Linked DNA regions of Xenopus tropicalis. The protein of the gene in region 1 purifies or fractionates together with the protein of each later gene. This does not show direct contact. Links are inferred from orthologs where the notes say so. Each region holds a gene or a part of one and is shown on either strand. Other genes may lie near its edges.

Region 1 (3,657 bases):
ACGTGGCGATCTGCGATGGTCGCACAAAAGATCGTCAGACCCGCCACTAACCTTCAGGGCTGAAACAGCAGATAAGGAGGTAGAAACAATAGGATTTCTACCTCCTTCTGCCGATTCAGCCCTGACGGCAGATTTTGCTCAGGCGCCTTCTATGGCGCCCAATCAAAATCTTTTGACCTGGCCGATCAGCGAGTCGACCGATATCAGCAGCGTCCTGCTTTAACCTCTTAAGTTTCAAGATCTGCTTAGGTGCTTTTTCCTGACGTTCCTTTTTACTTATATCAGCATAGGGGTCATTTATTATGAGAAAGGCAATGTGCAAAATGCTAATATAATATTATGTATACTATAATATATAGCAGTGTCACCTCTGTGAATTATGATTATTTATCCTCCAGAACAAACAAAGCCCAGTAAGGAACCCAAGCCAAGCCCAGCAGAGGAACCTCTTGACAATGGCTTCTTTCCTAGAAAACGCACAGCCCTTGTGGAGGAGATTCACAACCAAGCTCAGGAGGGCCTTAAATCACTTCAGAGAAGAGGTATGTTTTTGCGGATACACATGCATTGATCGTTATTTTAATATATTGTTTTCAGCTTATGCCTCCTCAATAATCAATTATTTTACCTCTCTCAGAGAAGCAGCAGAACAAGCATCAGCCCCAAGAGGAGAACCAGAGCCCTTTGGTAAGTTAGTCACCAAAGGTCTGGAAATAGGGATTCTGCCTTCCTATATTTGTATATTTTTCCATATTAAAAATTATGCTTAATGCAAATGTTATTACTGGTCAGGTGGCTACCTACCCTATCTGTGGTTGATAACCCTGCATACACAGCACAGTCATTTTTTTTCTTTATTGGCCTGTGTATTGCTGCCTTAAGACTGTTGTGTAAGATGGAGGGAAGGGGTGTTAAACAGCCTTAATAAGTACAAAGCAGGAATGGAACACCTTTGATTGTTAAAGCCACAGACTGGTTTGTGAAGAAGCATTGTATCAGGGGATCAAGTATCAGGGGATAACCCTAATAATTCCAATCACAAATTGTACTTATTCATTGAGTCATATGGCTGATGCCTGGCCAGGTAGTCAGGCAACAGGAGACCAAGTGAATATCAAAGAAGAAGGTGTGCAGACGAGAACACATTTACTGGGCAATTATTAAGCCTCATTTGCCATTTTGGCTGACAAACTGCTAGTGTTTGATATGCTAGAGTCTTTGTTTTTGGACAACACTTAGTGATAATTGTCAAATCGGTTAATAACTTTTAATTTGCATGAAAACGTTAGCTTCTTTGTGGCCAACTTTATACTTTACTACTGTATTTATTATCTACTCCCTCACAAAATGGCAATGGCCAATTCCTGCTTATGTTTTTCACTTTTCTGCAGCCCCAACCAGACAGTACTGATAATGGCTTCCGTACACGATCTCTATCCTGTGCCACTGAGACCACTGACGATGCCATGACTGTTCGATCAGAAATGATTCAGCGCAAAGGTAAGGCAGTGGAGTTATTATTTGTGAATAGGCTAAATCAGTGCACATTGGAAAATGTGGAGAAACAGTGTTTAAAGGACATAACTGTTATGCATGAAGCCATTGTTCTAGCTAGAGACCCCTAAGCCCTATTGTAAAACTAAGCTTGGTACCAATTTTTGTTGCTCCTGTTCCCAGTCATCACTAGTTTCTTACATAAACAAAAAAATTAGAATTATTTGTTTTAACCTGAGAACATTTGTAAATTAGTTTAAGATAATGGTGTTACGAAAAATAGATTTAATTTAGAAAAAAGTTATTGTCACTTTTCTGTATGCATACCACTATACATGAAACTGTCTCCTTCCTTTTTCAGTGCACCCTTCCCACCACATTAAAACTCCTAGTTGCATTTTTGTAGTTAAGACTTACATCTAAATTGCTTGTGGGGGCATTATGATGTGATTCCTTTTGACACAAGTAGGAGAGGTAGTATAAACAGTTGTAGGAATTTATAACTTTCACATCATGGGGGAAAAAAAAACGTTTTTGTTCTGTAAGGCAGTGCTGTACTGGCGGCCTGCGGCAGTCTTCCTTTTCCTTTTTTGTGGGAAATCATTCCTTTTATGAAGTATTTTGTACAAAGGGTAAAGATAGTTACATAGTTACATAGGGTTGAAAAAAGACCATTGTCCATCAAGTTCAACCCATCCGAGTAAACCCAGCACACAACCTATACTAACCAATCTATACACTCGCATACATAAACTATATATACAACCAGTAATACTAACTGTAGATATTAGTATCACAATAGCCTTGGATATTCTGCTTGTCCAAAAACTCATCCAGGCCCCTCTTATAGGCATTAACAGAATCTGCCATTACCACATCACTAGGAAGGGCATTCCACAGCCTCACTGCCCTCACCGTGAAAAACCACCTACGCTGCTTCAAATGGAAGCTCTGTTCCTCTAATCTATAGGGGGGACCTCTGGTGCGCTGATTGTTTTTATGGGAAAAAAGAACATCCCCCAACTGCCTATAATCCCCTCTAATGTACTTGTACAGAGTAATCATGTCCCCTCGCAAGCGCCTCTTTTCCAGAGAAAACAACCCCAACCTCGACAGTCTAACCTCATAGCTTAAATCTTCCATCCCCTTTACCAGTTTAGTTGCACGTCTCTGCACTCTCTCCAGCTCATTAATATCCTTCTTAAGGACTGGAGCCCAAAACTGCACTTCATACTCAAGGTGAGGCCTTACCAGGGACCTATAAAGGGGCAAAATTATGTTCTCATCCCTGTTCTCATGCCCTTTTTTATACAAGACAGCACTTTATTTGCTGTAGTAGCCACAGAATGACACTGCCTGGAATTAGACAACTTGTGATCTACAAAAACCCCTAGATCCTTCTCCATTAAGGATGCCCCCAACACACTACCATTCAGTAGATAGTTCGCGTTTATATTATTTCTACCAAAGTGCATAACTTTGCACTTGTCAACATTGAACCTCATTTTCCAGTTTGCTGCCCAGTTTTCCAATTTTGTCAAATCGCTCTGCAAAGCGGCAGCATCCTGCATGGAACTTATAGTTTTGCACAATTTAGTGTCATCAGCAAAAATAGAAACAGTACTCTCTATGCCCACCTCCAGGTCATTAATAAACAAGTTAAAAAGCAAAGGACCAAGGACTGACCCCTGCGGTACTCCACTAACCACACTGGCCACTCTTTGTACTCTATCCTTCAGCCAGTTCTCTATCCAATTACAAATATTATGTTCTAGGCCAATATTCCTCAATCATTAACCTTCTGTGAGGTACAGTATCAAACGCTTTAGCAAAATCTAAGTAGATGACATTAACTGCCATTCCAGCATCAAGGTTCCTGCTCACCTCCTCATAAAAGGCAACTAAATTAGTCTGGCAAGATCTGTTACGCATAAAACCATGCTGCACAAACTAATAGTATTGTGAACTGCAATGTATTCAAGTATCCTATCCCTTATTACCCCTTCCAGAAGCTTTCCTACTACTGATGTCAGACTTACAGGCCTATAGTTTTCAGGCTGAGAACGAGATCCCTTTTTAAATAATGGCACCACATTAGCAATTCGCCAGTCTCTCGGCACCATGCCAAACCTCAACGAATCCTGAAAAATTATGTGAAGAGGC
Region 2 (3,657 bases), on another chromosome or scaffold:
AGCTAAAAACCTGTTTTGTCTTTTACAGATGTGTTGGTGCCCGGCTCTGAAAAAGAATGCCTCTGGTTAAAAGAAACATCGATCCTCGGCACTTGTGCCATACTGCTCTTCCCAGAGGAATCAAGAATGAACTGGAATGCGTTACTAACATTTCACTGGCCAATATAATTAGGCAGTTAAGTAGTCTAAGTAAGTAGCTTTATACATGTTTAGGAGCTTGTTGTTAATCTGCTCTTATCTTGTATTTATGCTCATATTTGTGTTGTCGCTCTGTATAAAATATATGCACATAGAGTTCTGAAAATTTTTAGAAATCACTGATACATTGCACTTTTAGGGATATTATACCCTACATGTCATCCAGATATCAAGATGAAGCCCCAAAATGAAAATAGCGCATAGGAACTATCATGGCTTACATTTCAGCTATTGCAAAATCAACACATTTATGCATTTTATTTGGAGTTACAGCAACAAAAACTAAAGTTCATCCCAGAAAACCATATAGTTTTGGAAATGACCTATTCTCTGGAATCCAAAATGGCTGCAAATGTTTTTCAACTGCAAATTATTCCTAAACTTAGGTTTCAGTGACATTTCTGGAAACTTTTACTTTACTGCACTTTATATCCTACATATCATTAGTGCCATTAAATATGCCAAATAGGAATGCCAGTGCCATGAATGTTTTCTGAATTAACATTTTAGTGCCACATGCATGCTTATGTTTACCAAAGTATGTGGCATGTGGAGGCATCAAATGAAAGCCATGATAGTTCATATGCATGGTTATCATTTCTGCTAATTATGTGGTATATAGTCCCCTTAAAGGACAAGGAAAGGCAAAGTCACTTGGGGGTGCCAAAATGTTAGGCACCCCCAAGTGACTTTAATCGCTTACCTTGTACCCCGGGCTTATACCCCTGTTAGGAGAAAACAGCACCAGCCCGGGGCACTTTGGGCGATGTGCTTCCTCCTTCCTGCTTCGTTAAGCTGTGACTATGAGTTAGGCGCATGCACAGTAGAGTGAAAAGCCGACTTCTCTGTTAAAGTTCGGCTTTTCACTCTACTGCGCATGTGCGCGCGGCGATACAGGAAGGAGGAAGCGCTGCAGGTACCCCGGGCTGGTGCTGTTCTCTCCCAACAGGGGCACCAGCCCGGGGTAAAGGGTAGGCGATTAAAGTCACTTGGGGGTGCCTAACATTTTGGCACCCCCAAGTGACTTTGCCTTTCCATGTCCTTTAAAGCATGCAGGTTATAGCATCATATGGCCCGTATTTTTCTTTATTTACCATGATTAAACATCCTAAAACTAACACAGGGTTTCCCATATATATGGAATGTTGAGGCCCCAAATGGAAATACAGAAAGATTTTCCTGGGTAACTTAAGCTTTGTTATAATGTTATGCGTTGTAAAGCCGCCTTACCATAAAGAAAAAAATCTCAAAAAACCATATATTTTTGGAAAGTACATATTCTCTTGAATTCAAAAGGGTAACAACATACTCCAAACTACCGAACTGCAAAAGTACACTAAACTTAGTAGACAAGTAAAGAAAGGGGGATGGGTTGGATACTAAGAAGCAGTTACCCAACATGCACTTTACCAAAAAATGGTTGGTTTGTGAAAGGACCAGCCAGAGCCTGAAAAAGTTGTTTTATGTACTATGCGTTTTTGCAGTTAACATTGATTTTCTATTTTAATGCTGAATGTCTGAAGGTTTCTTTCAATTTAACACTTTGTTAATTATCTAGAAAATGGTACAGAAAAGAAAGCAAAAAAGGGAAAAAAAATTACAACACTGGAAACATAACATACTTAGTAGTAAAAATAGTAGAAACAAATGATGAAATAATTGGTCACACCAGTAACACTTATCAGTTGACTGACCAAATTATATTAACAGTCTAGTTTGCCAGTGTGTTTATTAGCCTACCTCTCTGTTTACCTTTGGTCCCCAGATGTAGGGCTCTAGTTCTAGAATCTTAGGCACAGAAGATTCTTCCAGCAATAAACAGTATATATACACAGGAAAATGAATAGAAGGTAGTGTTAATATTTATCGAGTAACAAAAAAACAATTTCTAGAGAATGCTAACTGTGGTATCAATATTGAAGCAACTGTTGATGTGTAATGCATTGTTCTTGTGTTTCAGGTAAATATGCAGAAGATATATTTGGTGAACTTTTTAATGAGGCACACAGTTTCTCCTTCCGAGTTAACTCTCTTCAAGAACGTGTAGACAGGTTATCTGTTAGTGTAACACAGCTTGACCCAAAAGAGGAAGAACGTAAGTTCTCTATGGCTTTTAACAAAATATTGTTTGTTTTGTTTTCTTTGCTTCATATCTTGCCTGTGCATATTTGAAAATTTTCACTGTAATAAAAAAAATGACTTGTTAAAAGGACAGGCAATTCATTGACAAGCTGACACAGCTGAACAGTTGCTATTGTCTGTAGCCAGCGCATGAAATAGGTCATGTGGAGTTCCACATTCCATTGCATTTAATATTACAATGAAGGAAAGCATTACAGTACCATTCCATGTATAGTGGATAAAATGCCCTGTCCTGCTTAATGCCATGTAACTTATCTGCTTACATTACAATGACCCTATTACTCCTTGGGGTATATGGTAGTCAGGTAAAATAAGATTATGATTTGTACACCTTTTCTGATTAAGGAATGCAGATTGTTTCATCGGTTAATATTCACTTGGCCCATGTATGGCCAGTTTTGTTGCGTTAAATAGTCTTCCAATGAATGTGGCTTTAAACATGTAAAATACTTTAGTACTTCTCACTAAAAATTAAATCTCTAAAGTGTCTTGTACAAAAATTTTCAATGTGTTGTTCATAATGTTGGGACAGGCAGCCTACATCATTGCATTCTAAGAAGGAAAATCAATGCTTATTAACATGTAATTTCATCACATTTGAATCTGAATGTCATTGTGCTAACTTCCAATTTGTTTCCATATTGCTTTTGTTCCTCAAGTACCCTTAACCCCATTAGATTGTAGGCCCCCTGATCCTATTCTTTTTTTAAACTTTATTTTTATTTTCCAAAAGTTTCACCACAGCTTGTTTATGAATACATACATTAAATAAATGCTTTACAGGTCAGTTGATGTTCATAATAAATTAAGCAAAACCCCAAACAATGTAGGTCTCTATAAAATATACTGCATAAACAAGCTCATATGTAAACCCTGCTTCATCTAAATAAATAATTTTCACAAAAATATACTTGTTTAGTATTATGGGCTATTGGGTAATCCTAAATAGAAAATTGCCTTATTCTATACTGGTGCAAGGGTTACCATGCTTGTATGCTATGGTTGCTAAGAGAATGGCATGAAAGCACCGTGGGCCATAGATGTCTCGGGTAGCATAACCCTTGCTTATAACTCTAGTGGGCTTATTTATCAATCTTGGATAAATTTGTGAATTCAAGTTTGTTTTTCATAATCAGATAAACTGGCATATCGAATGGTCATTTATTTATTAATAAGGTAAACTCATTTGAATAAACTTGAATTATCTCAAATTTTTTTTTTTACTTTATGAGCTCTAAAAACTGAAAAAAATGCGAGTTTTTACATTCGAATTTTTGTTTTTTTTTGGACTTAAATACCAGACATTTGAGCACAAGA

Evidence for each region. Proteins that work in one complex are often made in the same cells at the same time.
Region 2: the proteins of kiaa1522 (region 1) and wasf1 purify together in Homo sapiens (affinity purification with mass spectrometry; 3 studies listed by BioGRID and IntAct, with this or other methods). This does not show direct contact. The link is inferred for Xenopus tropicalis from reciprocal best matches to the Homo sapiens genes NHSL3 and WASF1.

The regions. Positions count from the first base shown.
Region 1 is NC_030678.2:90,225,720-90,229,376, reverse strand, and holds part of kiaa1522 (uncharacterized protein KIAA1522 homolog), read left to right. Parts: intron 1-398; coding exon 399-542; intron 543-637; coding exon 638-687; intron 688-1,391; coding exon 1,392-1,500; intron 1,501-3,657. UniProt on the Homo sapiens protein: Able to directly activate the TNF-NFkappaB signaling pathway.
Region 2 is NC_030681.2:77,469,224-77,472,880, forward strand, and holds part of wasf1 (wiskott-Aldrich syndrome protein family member 1), read left to right. Parts: intron 1-28; 5' UTR 29-56; coding exon 57-189; intron 190-2,158; coding exon 2,159-2,293; intron 2,294-3,657.